Linked DNA regions of Oryctolagus cuniculus. The protein of the gene in region 1 binds, or shares a complex with, the protein of each later gene. Links are inferred from orthologs where the notes say so. Each region holds a gene or a part of one and is shown in the gene's direction. Other genes may lie near its edges.

Region 1 (3,996 bases):
GAAGAGGTGAGAAGCCAGTGGTGTCTGTTCTGACACCCCTGTTGAGGCAGGCGGGAAAAGAACAGGGCAGAGGAACTGCTCAGGGCTGTGTCACATCTCTTTCCCCTCTCCCTGACCCTCAGCACCCTTTCATGGAGCTTCGAGTCCTAGAGAACACAAAACGGTCCCGGCGGAACCTGGGCCTGGACTGTGATGAGCACTCCAGTGAGTCCCGCTGCTGCCGATACCCCCTCACGGTGGACTTTGAGGCTTTCGGCTGGGACTGGATCATCGCACCTAAGCGCTACAAGGCCAACTACTGCTCTGGCCAGTGCGAGTACATGTTCATGCAAAAGTATCCGCACACCCATTTGGTGCAACAGGCCAACCCAAGAGGCTCTGCTGGGCCCTGCTGTACCCCCACCAAGATGTCCCCAATCAACATGCTCTACTTCAATGACAAGCAGCAGATTATCTACGGCAAGATCCCTGGCATGGTGGTGGATCGCTGTGGCTGCTCCTAAGGTGGGGGACAGTGGATGCCTCCCCCACAGACCCTACCCTGAGACCCCCAGCCCTGGCCCCCATTCCCCCCAAGCCCTACAGCTCCCTCCACCTCTCCCCATGAACATCACACCTTGTTCCCTGACCAAGCAGTGTGCAATACAACAGAGGGAGGCAGGTGGGGATTGAGAGGTGAGGGGTCTGGGGAAAGGGGAAGGAAGGGCATGGTCAGGGTGGGGAGCGTCTGAGGTTTGCAGGTGAGAAGGTTTGGCAAGAAGACAGAGAGGTATAAGAGACAGGTATAGAGATGGTGGAACAAAAAGAGCCGCAGGGAGAAGGCAAAGGGATAGAGAGGCAGAAGAGACAGAGACTAGGCAGAGACAAACACTGAGAGAGACCGAAACGGAGGAATAAAGGAAAGCCCCACACCGAGCCTCCTTCCTTCCACTGGCAAGGTGAGGGGCTTGGTATGGTCTGGGGAGATCCCCCAACTACTCAGTAGGAGAGGAAATCAAAAATCCATTCTTAGCTTCTCCCTTCTTTCCCTTCATCAGTGGCCAGGGGAAGGGAAGTGAGGGCAGGGGCAAAAGTTAAGGATTTGGGAATTTATTTATTTATTTATTATGACTTTACATTTTTCTTTTGGTATTTGGCTTTACTGGAATAGGAGGACCCCTGCCCAGTGCCCCATTTTTCCTTTATTTCCCGAACCCTGCACTCCCCTAACACCCACCCGCTTAAGCACTTGTATAAAGCCTCCAGGGTTGGGAGTGGGAGTAAAGGGCAGGAGGACTGGCACGTGGAAGTTTTTAACCTGCAATCACCCTAACTCAACCTTCCTGAGCCAAACGGGTTGAACTGAAGCCACTGGTCACAGAAACAGTAAAAGGTTAGGGTTTATGAGCTGGGGTGGGGGGAGCCCTCGATATCCAGGATCAGTATGATGAGAGCCACTGAACTAACCCTTAGGCCCACCCTCATGTGTTATTTAGCCAAAGGGTGCCGCCTGCTTATGCCCAAATTCCCCTCAGCCAAGAGAGACCAAAGAGCCTGTGGAATGCCCCTGCCCCAGCCGCCACTTTCAGGTCAAAAAAACAAAAAAAGGGTATAAAGACCCCAGAGTCCCCCAGGTCTAGCAAAGGTTCAGAGGGGCCGAGAAGGCAAAAGTATGGAGGCTGAAGGTTGCAGGGCATCTGAATCCAAATCACTGCTCTGGGCTAGGGAACAGAGCCAGCAGACCAAGGTAGAAGGGATTCCGGAGCGGGGGGCATTTTAGTCCCCCAACCCCAAAGCTCAGGGTGGAAAGAGGGAGAGCAAGAGAACAGAGTGTCTATAATTATTTTTATCTTTTATTTTTGGAATCTAGCAGTCCCTGGCAGCAGGGAAGGGACCACGCAGTGGGGAAATGTGCCTGACAAGGCCAGTTAGAGCAGAGGACGGGAGGGCTAGGAAGCAGGCAGATACCGGCTGCCACTTCAAGTCACTTAGCTGAGCCCATTCGCTCCTCCCACAACCCTGACCACCCTCCTCTGGACGCACTGTGCCTCAGCTTCTTCCCCTCAATGGAGTGAGAAATAGCAGCACCCGCCACAGCCAAGAGATGAATTCTGAGCACTTACCACGGGCACTTTATGGACATAAAATACCTCTCGCTGTGGGACAGATAACCAGGGCACCAGAGTAGTGGTGAAGAGATGAGGCTAGAGGAGCACAGGCTTCAGAGTGCAAGTTCCCCTCTGCCTCCCAGCTGGACAGTGCCTGAAGCCGAGGAGCTGAGAATCTCCACACCGCATCCACACCTTACCACCAGCCTCTGGGCTCCAAGAGAGAACCAAGAGGCTGTCAGGAGGAGATGGGAAGAACTTTCCACAAGACTGTCACTCTAAGTAGGACCAGCAGTTATGGGTCTGATACAAACAGTACTGAACTGAAGTACAGCCTGTAGCTGGTAAGCGTCCCTGGAAGGCTTGTTCTTCCCAAGAGCACGACTCTCACTTGGCCAAGATGGTAAGCTTTAGCATCTTATTCCTATTCTCACAGTGAGAAAGTGATGTGAAGTTTTCCAGCAGAGGAACGGATAGCTGTTAAGCTTTTCTACTCACCTCCTCCCATACAGCAGCTATGTTAACCCCAAGTTTCTCCTCTCTGGCCCTGCTCACCCTTCTGCCCCGATCTTGGAGAACAACACACACTGACCAGCAACACCGTTTTCCCTTGGTGGAGGGAGAAGAACAGAGAAGTGAAGAACAGAAGACGCTTCCAAGTTCAAATGCCTCTTGTGCTTGGCACGGGGTGGGAGTTGGGCAGCAGGCACCAGGTAACTTCCCTCTACAGATTCTAGAGAGCTAGGGTATTGAACTTGGGGGATACTTAGAACATTGCCCCTTTAATACCACCAAATAAAGACCCTTGGGGGAGTTTCTTTTATGAACATATATCTATGAGCTGAAGTCTCATTCCCCTATTCCTTCCCTACACCCAAAGAGGCATAGGGTAAAGAGGCTTGGCACGGCCTTACAGCCCAGCGGGAGCTAGCACCCCTTTTCACCTTATGTGTGTGGACCTGGCCAGTGCCTCTCCAAACATATCATTATTAGTGTAATTATTCACTTTGTGTATTTGTTACATCATGTGCGTGATTGCCTTTGTTTGTTAAGGGTGTCTGAAGAGAATGGGACTGACGGGGGCACTGGAATGCCGGGAAAAGGACTTCTTCACTGAGATAAAGGCTTCCTGGAGGGAACCATTGCAAAAAGGCCATCTGGCAGTTTTCAAGTTATGTGACAGAGGGCAAAGATGGCCATAGGGTGCTCTGAGTTTTGGGATAGTCACATGACACAATCCAGCACTTGAACCTGAAAAAAGAAAAATAAAAGCAGTCAAAGAGTTTAGAATTTAGTACTGAGCTCTTCTCCCTAATCAAGCGCCACATTTGTACCTTGGAGACCAGGCATCAAGTAAGATCTGAAAGAGGAAACCTTGTACTCAAGGACTAAAAAGATGGGGTCCGCACAGCAAGCAAAGAAACACTAAGGGCATATGGGAAGAGGGTGGGGACATGCAGCCCCAGGGAAGATGGGCAGAGGACCTAGAATAGCTCTTCTCTAGAGTTTGACCCCAAACAGTCCCAAAGCTGATAGAAACTCTCAGCCTCCACAGAATGGCCAAGGCGGAAAATTCTCGAGGTGACCCAGCTCGTCTGTCATCTGCCGTCCTTGATCCTGGGTTTCATCAACCAAGTTTCACTAAAACCCACAAACCAAACCATAGCCATTCAGTTTGTCAGTGGAACAAGAGTGATTAAGCATCTCAAATATTTGAGTCCAATGTAAATATTTCTCCCTTGCACCTATAGCACAAGTCTCAGGGCATAAGAGTTAGCAGCAAAAGAATTTTGCCTCACATTTAAAAAAAAAAAAAAGGAAAGCTGCCAGGACATCAAGCTGATCCAGAAAGCACAGGGCCCTTGCAAGGGTTCAGTGTGCCCCCACACCTTCCCTGCCCCGGCTGTGA
Region 2 (4,748 bases), on another chromosome or scaffold:
GAGCAGGTTGTGGCCGGAGCTTGCCAGCATCAGCCCCTCTGGACCTGCTCGGCCTCCGGCAGACATGGCATCCTGCTGGTGGACTTGGAGTTCCAGACAGCAGGCTGTCTGTGGGGGCAGCTCAGAAAGCTTAACATTTTGGGGCGGGTGCAGCAGGTGCAGTGGTTGAGCTGATGCGTGGGACGCTTATATCCCACAGGGGAATGCCTGTGTTCAAGTCCCTGCTTCCTATCCAGCCTCCTACTAATGTGTGCCCTGCAAGGCAGCAGGTGATGTTGGGAAGTACTCGGGTGCCGGCCACCCACATGGGAGACTCGCACTGAATTCCCAGCTCCTGGCTTCTGTCTGGCTCCGCCCCAGCTGTTGAACCAGCATTAGAGAGATCTCTCTCTGTATGTGTCACTGTCTCTGTGCCTTTCAAATATAGACAAACACAAGCCAGCAAACAGAATTCACTGACTTGCTAGAGTGTCCTTGCAGGGACAGGAACCCAGCGGGTCTCAGATCCCAGCTCCCACATCCCCATCCTTCCCCTTCACAGCTCACCAACTTCCTCAGGCGGGTACCATTCTCACCTACTAGCTCTCAAGGAATTTGCAAATCCCAACTAGACGGCTGGTTCTGATTCTGATTACCAAGCTTTATTTAATTCCAAATTCCAATCGCTCAGAAAATTCACATTTTCTCCTTAAAAGGTCCTTCGGAGAATCGTTCTCCGTGCTGCGTAACACAGCCTCCTTGGCTGTGTTTGTGTCTGAAGAAGGCACTAGTCTGACAGGAAGAATTACAAATCTGGAGTTAGTTTTGGCATCCCAGAGGGAAGGTGGGTGGAGCGTCTCACAGTAAATTAGGAATTCAGAATGAAAACGTAGTGGAGTTTATTTGGGTTTTCAGTGACACCTCAGAATTATTACACAGGCGAATCAGAGACAGCTCAAGGTAACGATGATTGCTCCCCTCCGCCCGGGAGGAGCTGGGGCTGAGAGCGGAGATTCCCTTCCTTGGAGGGTGGGATGCAGGCTCTCCCTTTCCAACCTGAATCAGGAAGTCGAAAAGAGGGTAGGAGAGTGGCTTGGGTCCCTGTTCTGGGCGTGATCTGGAGGGAGGCTATTTGAGGTGTGTGTCTGGATTCGGGCTCTGGGATCTAAGATTGAGATCTGAGAACTTTCTGGGCCTGGAATTTGAGGAGGGGGCTAGGTATGGGGTGTACGCCAAGAGCAGGATGAGTCGCATGTGATGGGCACTGAGAAAGGTGATGTTGAAACTTGAGGCGTGGGTCTGGGGAGGGGACGCTGAAGTGGATGCAAGCGCTCCGCGACAGTGCGGATGTGGGCGGCTTGTGTTACCGACTGCAGGTGCAGGGCTGTGGATGGGGGGGCCAGGGTGGGGCTGGGTCAGGACCAGCTCTTTGGTGTCTAAGAGGAGGCCAGAAGAAAAGAGCGGCGAGCGGCCGCAGCCTTTTTTCGAAAGCTAGCCAGAAGCAGACACACCCATCGCCCACTGGGGCTCGGGAGAGCCAACCCCCACCCGGCCTCGGGAACCCGGAGCTCGCTCCGGCTGGGGAAGGGGTCTGGCGGCACCGCCCCCGGGGAGTGTGTGGGGCGTGGCCGGAGGCCGGAGCCCGCTGCCCCGGATTGGTCGCCTGGCGGGCCCGCAGGCGGGGCTCCCGGCCTGGTCCCGCTGGGCCGCTCGCAGCCGGCGGGGAGGCGGGGCCGGCGGGGGCCCGGCAGCCAATGGGCGCGCGTCCCCGGAGCAGTTACAAAGGGCCGGAGCGAGGCCGCCGCGGCGGCGGGGGAGGTGGGGCGAGGCGAGGCTTGCTGAGGCGAGGCGGCGGCCGGGCCGGGCCGGGCCACAGGCGGCGGCAGCGGGACTATGGAGGCGGCGGCCGCTGCTCCGCGTCCCCGGCGGCTGCTCCTGTTCGTGTTGGCGGCGGCAGCGACGCTGCTCCCGGGGGCAACGGGTGAGCCCCGGCGCGGCGGGCGGGCAGGCGGGCGGCCGCGGGGGCGCGCGGGCCGGGCCCGGCCTCTGGCTCGCTCCTGCTCTTTCTCAAACATGGCGCGGGGCCGGGGGCGCAGGTGGCGGCGCCGGGGCCCGGGCTGGGCTTTCAGGGGCTGGTGGCCGCCAGGCGAAGCTGAGGCGGGCAGCGGAGGAGCGGCGGGGGTGTGTGTCCGAGTGCGCGTGGACGTGGCCGACAACCCAAGGCCGCCCGGGTTCCGGGGGCCCCCGGAGGAGAGGCGGCGTCAGGCGGAGCCGTCCGAGGTCGGGGGCTGCCCTCTGGGGCGTGAGTGGGCGAGGGGCGGAGGGTGAGGCTGGACCGGACCGGCCGAGCCAGGCTGCCCCGGCGCGTCCTCCAGGTCACTGCGTGGCCTTATTCCGGGCACCCCTGCCCCCAGGCAGGACTGGGCCTGGGGCTTCTTCCGAGTCCCGGGGCGGAGTTGGGGTCCGGGGAGGCTTCCCGGGCGGGCTGTGAGCCCTGAGCCTCGAGGGCGTTCCGGAGCGATGCGAGGGGCCGCCGCGTGGTGGAGACCCCCGGGGCGGCAGGGCTGCGCGGGCTTTGGCGCCGGCCGCGACCCCGAGCCGACCTGCGGGGAGCGGCTGCCTCTCGGGCCGGGGTGGCTTGGCAAGGGGAGCTGCGAAGCTTTGTGTTGAGGAGGCGGCGGCGGCACGAGATGCGCGGATTGTTTCCCTCTCCGTGCGTCTGGGAGTGTTGAAGCGAGTCCAGCCGCCAGAAGGCTACGGATTGTTTTCGTAGTAGAAACTTGCACGTTTGCTCACTCCGCGGGGTTGGGAGTGTTTGAATGGAAACGCTTTTATTTCTTTGAAGGAGCGTCGCTCCTGATGTTCCTTTTCTTGAGTGGCAGTTAGCAGCTTGAATCAGACGTCTGTGTAGCCGCTTTTCAAGTGAGACTGTTTGCCCAGCTTTTTTGGTCGCTAAACCAGGTTGGAGTAGGTGGTGGGTGCCTACCCTGGCGAAGGGTGGAGTGCCTAACTCTGTTAGAGACTGAACTAAAATATAGAAGCTAAATAGAGAACTTGGGTGAAAATGCAGCGAAATGGAACAAGTGTTAAACAAAAGCAAATTCAAGACCGGTGCCCAGCTATCCTAATAGCTACTGTCTATTAAGAGCCCACTGTGATGCAAATGCAAAAAGCACGCCAAAGCGTATTGTCCAGTCTCTGCCACTAACCCTTAAGGGCTGCTGGCCTTTGCCCCGTTGGTAGTTGGGAAAGCTGAGCTGCAGAGAGGTGAGGACCAGTTACTAAGTGCTGAGGTTAGGATTTGCTGTCAGCTCTCTCAGTTTCCAAAACCCATACACCAACTATCTGGCACAGCCCATTTTTTCTTTTTCCATCATCTAACAAGCAGTTGGTATTCATCCCTTAAGATGTTGGCCTCACAATTTGAGTGTTAGGTTGACTTCTTTCTACATCCTGACACATTCCTGAGTCCCTTGCCATGGGCCTGTATTAGAGGAAACAGAGGGTTTTGACCTGGCCTCAGGAGGGAGGCAAGATAACTGTGGACAGGTGGGATACACTGATACAGTTCTGCATCAAGCAGGCAACTTTCCACACCATTATTAACTTGAGTGACGTAGTTCAGTCACTGTTTTCCACCTAGGGTAGCACATACTCGACTTAATTGGAGGGACAGAACGCTGCTGGGTGGTGCCCTGGAGTTGACTGTCTGTGTGGGCACACATACAATACAGAGCTGGCCTGGATGCTGGTTACTCACAGCCCAGACCACCCCACTTTCCCGGCGCCCTGCTTAGGTGTGTTCGGGTTCCGTCTGTGCCTTCATGCTTTCTGAGGCAACCCAAGAGTTCTTTTTTTTTTTTTTTTTGGCTTCCCTTTTTAAGACTGGTGGTTTTTCCTTATTGTCTGGGGATCTGTTTTGCATTTCTGTGCCCAGCTTCTGCTCTCTCCAACATGGATTTCTCTAGAGCTGATTCCTTGTCCCTAGTGCAGCTTAGTTCCACCGTGCCTGCATTATACCCCACGCGAGAATGCTGTTTTGCTTCCTTTCTGCAATTTCATGACTTTTTTTCTTTGCAAACAGTCCGACTCTTTGTGCTGATGCCTCGAGTACCCCCTCCTTCCTTGGTGGATAGCCGTCAGCCTAGTCCTGCCGGTGATCTCCAAATCTGGTTGCTTTCTAGTGTTCCTCTGTCATGGCTTTCCTGTGAGCTGCTGCTCAACCAGTCTTCCCCTGCCACTTCACCAGGGCTTACCGGAGCCCCATGTGTGTGCACTAAGAACGATGCTCGAGGCTTCTGAGTTGGGCCATCTCTGAGTAGCCACCCCACTTCTCACTACTGCAGACCTTCGGTTCCCATGACTTCCTTTTTCCCACTGACACTCCTGATGGTTCAACCTTTTCAATACATAATTAATTTTGCCCCTTTTTGACGGGTGTGGAGACACAAATTTCTGGTCCTGACTTAATGTACTAGTTTAATTTTCCTTGAACTCTGTCCCTGGACTGTGTAGCACTTACAGTTACTTAACTGTACTTACGTGTAGTGCTCAGGGACAGTACAGGCACCCTGAGGACAGGGCTTCTGCTTTCTATTTCTTTTATGATCTCAACACCTAGCGCTATGTTTTATATTCTATTCTGCACAAATACTTGTTGATTAAGTGAGTTCCACTTGACTACACATTCCATTAGTTTTTATTCTGTTGTGTGTAAGTACAGTTGTGCATTATTAGCTTAGATTCCTATGTGTAATCAGGAAAAGTTG
Region 3 (4,608 bases), on another chromosome or scaffold:
AAGTGCGCCGAGAGCCAGCCTCCCCCGACCGCCGCGCCCCTCCCTCGCGTGCTCACGACGGTAATTATAAAGCGAGAGGCGGCGGCGGCGGCGGCGGCGGCGGCGGCGGCGGTGGCGGCGGCGGCGGCGGCGGCGGCGGCGGCGGCGAGGTCACCGTTTTTACCAGCCTGCTGCACCGAAAGCGCGCGGTGCAGGTGCGGCGGCCGCGGGGCTTTGTGATTCATGCGCCCACTTTCAAAGGGGGGCTCGGGCCCGTCTGAGAGGCACCCAAACAACTGTCTTCTAATATTAGCACGGCTGTACTTCGGGATCTATTATAGTCTGTCCAGACAGATCCCATTGTAATGGGATCTTTTATTAAAAGATTAGCACTATCTCCTGCAGTTGGTGGAAAAAAATCTGTTATCACTGAGTTATTTGCAGTTGTGGAGGGGGTGGGAGGGGGGTGACGGAAGATGGGGGTGGGAGGGCCTGGGGAGGACTGGGGGAGGGGGGCGAAGGAGGGGCGGGTTTGAAATCCGTAGAACAAATCCCAGTGACCTGCGAATGTCCAAGAATTTTGTCTGCATACTTCGCTGTCTGTTGTCCTACGGGCTGGAGAAGCGAAATGAATAGCAATTTAAAAGGCAGCTTTGGAATAAACAATATAGCCTTTTCCGTGAAGTAATCGCTTTATATAAAAGGAAATATCGCCTCCTCAGTTTCATTCAGCGGTGCCAAAAATGTTATAAATGAGAGACCCGCCAACTTCCAGTGAAGAATGCCAGGCACTGTACTTAATAAACTGAGGCTACAGAAGTTCATTATCGATGTTGCAATCTTTTTTTATTCGCGGGGGGGGGGGGAGGGAGAGAGAGAGGAGAGAGAGAGAGAGAGAAGAGAGAGAGAGAGAGAGAGAGAGAGAGAGAGAGAGAGAATCGAGTCTGGAGCCGAGCTGGAGACGAGAGAGACAGAGACGCACAGGACAGAAACTAGGGGAGTCGCCGAGCGGGGAGGAGGGGGCAGACCGCCTACGTCGGCGCCCCCGCTCGGGGCTCCGACTCCAGACGCCCGGGAAGTGAAAGGGGAGAGAGAAGAAAAGGGACAGGGCGAGACTGCACCGGGGGGGAGGCCGTGTCTGAGGTGTTAAACATTTTTGTTTGCTACTCGTGGAGACCCGGGGCTTGCGTCTCCGCGCTGCTCCGCCAGGGTGGAAGGTGCCGGGGCCGGGGTTCCCAGCGACCCCTCAGGGCCGAGAGCCGCCGCCGCCGCCAAGTCCAGCACGCACAGACCCAGACACAAAACCTCCCGCCGGGTCCCCCGCGCCCAGGCTGTACGGGAGGCTGGCAGGGTCCGACCCCACCCTGAGCGAGCGAGGGCTCTCCAGCAGCCCGCGGCTCTCCCGGCGTCTGCAAAGTCTTTTGCCAGAGCCGAGGAGCGGAGAAGCAGCGGCGCGGAGACCAAGTGCCGGCTTCCCCGCTCGGCCCGCCGCCCGCTCCAGCGCCCCGCGGCGCACACCCGCACACACACACACACACACACACGCACGCACGCACACACGCCACCCCGGGCGCGGCGCGCTGCCCGCAAGCGGCGGCGTGCAGGACATGAAGTGGGTGTTCTTCCCCGCTCCCCACCCCCGAGCGTCGCCCCCACCCCCCGCCCCGGCCGCCTGCCCCCTCCCTCCCGCTCCTACGCAAATAAGAACTCGGCGATTCCCCTCCTGCCGCTTTGATTTCGGGCACCTCCGACAGATAACTGGGAAGGGTTTCCAGAAGGTGGGAAATGTCACCTGATTCACAGTGAACTTTTAAAAGCTCCCCACCCCCAAGGAGCCGCGCACACCCTCGCTCGAGGCCGCCCTCCCACAGCCCCACACACTGGGAGACCGCCCACCGCAAACCGCGGAGACCCCCGTCTAGATTTAAAGCGCGGCTGCGCCCGGCTTCTGACGTCCATTGAATCGCGCGGGCGGCCGGCTGTGAGCGCGGGGCTGCGCCCGGATCTCTGCGCCCTCCGCCGCTCGCCTCCGAGACGCGCGCCGCTCGCACCAGCCGCCCCGCCGCCGCGCCCGCTCCCCGCGCCGCCGCGCTCCTCGCCCCGCGCCTGCCCCCAGGATGGTCCGCGCCAGGCACCAGCCCGGCGGGCTTTGCCTCTTGCTGCTGCTGCTCTGCCAGTTCATGGAGGACCGCAGCGCCCAGGGTAAGCGAGGGGAGGGGGGGATGCGCTGGGCAGGCTGGGCTGAGGGCAGGGGGCTCTACTTTTCTGTGGTCTGTTCGCCCCAACGCTGCTCTTGGAAGATGTTGGACCAAGTTAGCGACTCCGCGATGGAGAGCAGTGGGGAAACACCAAGGCAGTGACACTTTGGGACCGGCAGCGGAGTTGGGAGCTCGGCTCTCCTTTAAAAGGAAAAGGAGCAGGCTGGAGTCTGCCTCAGTATTAGGGTTAGATGCTCCGAGTTCTGGCCGGGATGACTTGAGATGGTATCTCCGGGGTTGGGGACCAGCATCAGTAGTAGCCTGCGGATTTCGGCCGCCCGGTTTGCAGTCTAACCTCTGTGCCTCCCACGTCTTTTGGAGACTTTTTACAATGACCTGGGGCTGCGGAGACACTGAATTTTCTCCGGTGGCTTGGGGGACGTGGTTTCAGAAAGTTTGCCCAAACTTGGAAATGTGGGTGCTGAAAATTTTCGAGGGAAGTAGCTTTCTGCCTAATGGATGCTTCTTCCAAACCCCCTCCCCCAACCCCGCAAAAAAAAAAAAAAAAGTCAAATTATTACCCGGGAGTGTTGTGAGTTACTTTACAGTTTTTTTTTTTCCCTCTTCTTTGCTTCATTCCTCGGACTGTTAACTTTTTGTAAAACAGCGAGCAGCCCACAACTGATTTAAATGCTAAGCTGTATCAAGAGTAAATCTCTTAAGTTTGTCTTGTAAAAATAGCTGTTTCTTTCCATTAGTCTTGGGCAGAATTTTTAAAATAATACTAGCAGCCTGTGGTCCAGTTATTGTTAAAGTCTTACTTCCTGAACCAAATCTGGGTGTTAAAAGAGGGGAAGGGGGAGAGATTCCTTGCACAGGTTTCTTCGTGCTAGGTGGGAGCTAGGTGTACGGAGCCGGGACCCGGCAGGACGCTCGCCCCGGGCCGAGGTGCCCTGCCCGCGTGAGCGTGAACGTTTCCAGGGTGTGAGCGACCCCGCCGTCTGCACCGCCCTGCGCCCGGCTGCCCGCGTCCAGGGACGTGGGCGCCAGGGAAAGCAGCCCTCGGAGATTTCGAAAGCTCCCGGTGGCCGCGGGCGTGCTCAGGGGCGGCGGATTGCAAAACGGGCCCGTCGGGCGGGCTGCGCCTCGAGGCCGCGCGGGGCAGCTCCGGATTGCTTTTTTGCTTTCATTTTTCGCAAGTGCCTTTTTGCTTGATCTGTTCCTGCGCGTGCGTGCGTGTGTGTGTGTGTGTGTGTGTGTCTCCTTCTCCTCTCTCTCCCTCTCCTCTCCCGTTCTCTCACTTTCTTAACCCCTGTCACAAATAATTCCCGTGCCGCCTACATGAAACCAACATGTAAAAACATCCGTCGCATCCTGTTTTTGTCAGGTTCTTTAATCTGCCCTTCGAGTCGCTGCAGGTTATGAAATGGGACGAATAAAAGTAAACAGTCTAGTAAAAGTCAATGCAAGCTGCACGTGTTGTGTCTGGGTCACTGGTTAACTGACATTGATATGGCTGGGGCGCTCTGGCTTCTGCCTCGCCCTGCCTCCCCTCGTCTGCCCCCCACCTCTGGGATCAGGGCTTCCCCCCCTCCTTCCCAACCCCTCCACCCCCTCCTATTTATTTGCCGCGCGTCTCCCCCGCCGCGCGCCCTGCCCTCCCTGCACCACGCTCACCCCCTCCCCACGCCCGCCGTGTCGTCTGTGCTCGCTCGCCCGCCGCCTCCCTCTCCTCGTCCCCCGCCGCTCGCCGGCGCATCCACCTCCCACCCCCGACTCTTCACAGCTGGGAACTGCTGGCTCCGCCAAGCCAAGAACGGCCGCTGCCAGGTCCTGTACAAGACCGAGCTGAGCAAGGAGGAGTGCTGCAGCACGGGCCGCCTGAGCACCTCGTGGACCGAGGAGGACGTGAACGACAACACGCTCTTCAAGTGGATGATCTTCAACGGGGGCGCCCCCAACTGCATCCCCTGTAAAGGTGGGACTCTTCCTCCCCAACCTCAGGCCCTCAGCAGAGGGCGTCTTACCCTGGGCTTCCCCACTACCTACCTGGGGGGGGGGGGGGGGACTGGAACCAAGAGAGCTGTGTGGGTGGGCTCCTCCTTCCTACGCCCAGCTCTGAGACGCCATTGGGAGCCATTCCTGCCTGTCACAACTCTTCGCAAAACAGAGTCCGCGGAGGTCCCCGGACTTCTGAGCCACGTGTGGAGACAGATTTGGGTATGGGGCCCTGCCCCCCTCCAACCCACTAAAAGAGGGCCTGGGGGCTCCTGAGAACAAACTCAGAGCTACAGGATTGCACAAGGCACCAGCACGACCTCCGGGCTGACCTACGGACCGCCCGGCCCTGGTTGTAATCCCTACCTCTTTCCAATCCATAGAAACGTGTGAGAACGTGGACTGTGGCCCCGGGAAGAAATGCCGGATGAAC

The links.
Region 2: the proteins of GDF11 (region 1) and TGFBR1 are in contact, whole or in part, in a crystal structure (PDB 6MAC), measured with the Homo sapiens proteins. The link is inferred for Oryctolagus cuniculus from reciprocal best matches to the Homo sapiens genes GDF11 and TGFBR1. Residues at the interface, in NP_005802.1 of Homo sapiens: Phe322, Ala324, Phe325, Gly326, Trp327, Trp329, Ile330, Met382, Tyr384, Phe385, Asn386, Asp387, Ile392, Ile396, Pro397, Met399; in NP_004603.1 of Homo sapiens: Ile78, Pro79, Asp81, Arg82, Phe84, Ala87, Pro88, Ser89, Ser90, Lys91.
Region 3: the proteins of GDF11 (region 1) and FST are in contact, whole or in part, in a crystal structure (PDB 5JHW), measured with the Homo sapiens proteins. The link is inferred for Oryctolagus cuniculus from reciprocal best matches to the Homo sapiens genes GDF11 and FST. Residues at the interface, in NP_005802.1 of Homo sapiens: Asn299, Leu300, Gly301, Leu302, Glu310, Arg312, Asp328, Trp329, Ile331, Ala332, Lys334, Arg335, Tyr336, Lys337, Tyr347, Met348, Phe349, Met350, Pro354, His357, Gln361, Ile380, Asn381, Leu383, Phe385, Asp387, Lys388, Gln389, Gln390, Ile391; in NP_037541.1 of Homo sapiens: Leu34, Arg35, Gln43, Val44, Leu45, Tyr46, Lys47, Thr48, Arg60, Ser62, Asp72, Asn73, Leu75, Phe76, Met79, Ile80, Leu134, Asp135, Arg149, Gln153, Pro154, Glu155, Val180, Val181, Asp182, Gln183, Tyr188, Val190, Thr191, Asn193.

The regions. Positions count from the first base shown.
Region 1 is NC_091442.1:58,574,516-58,578,511, forward strand, and holds the end of GDF11 (growth/differentiation factor 11), read left to right. Parts: intron 1-122; coding exon 123-503; 3' UTR 504-3,374; downstream 3,375-3,996. UniProt on the Homo sapiens protein: Secreted signal that acts globally to regulate anterior/posterior axial patterning during development. May play critical roles in patterning both mesodermal and neural tissues. It is required for proper vertebral patterning and orofacial development.
Region 2 is NC_091432.1:202,740,471-202,745,218, forward strand, and holds the start of TGFBR1 (TGF-beta receptor type-1), read left to right. Parts: upstream 1-1,779; 5' UTR 1,780-1,872; coding exon 1,873-1,960; intron 1,961-4,748. UniProt on the Homo sapiens protein: Transmembrane serine/threonine kinase forming with the TGF-beta type II serine/threonine kinase receptor, TGFBR2, the non-promiscuous receptor for the TGF-beta cytokines TGFB1, TGFB2 and TGFB3.
Region 3 is NC_091445.1:74,276,410-74,281,017, forward strand, and holds the start of FST (follistatin), read left to right. Parts: upstream 1-1,707; 5' UTR 1,708-2,096; coding exon 2,097-2,181; intron 2,182-3,963; coding exon 3,964-4,155; intron 4,156-4,558; coding exon 4,559-4,608. UniProt on the Homo sapiens protein: Multifunctional regulatory protein whose primary function is to antagonize members of the transforming growth factor beta (TGF-beta) superfamily including activin, myostatin, GDF11 or bone morphogenetic proteins (BMPs).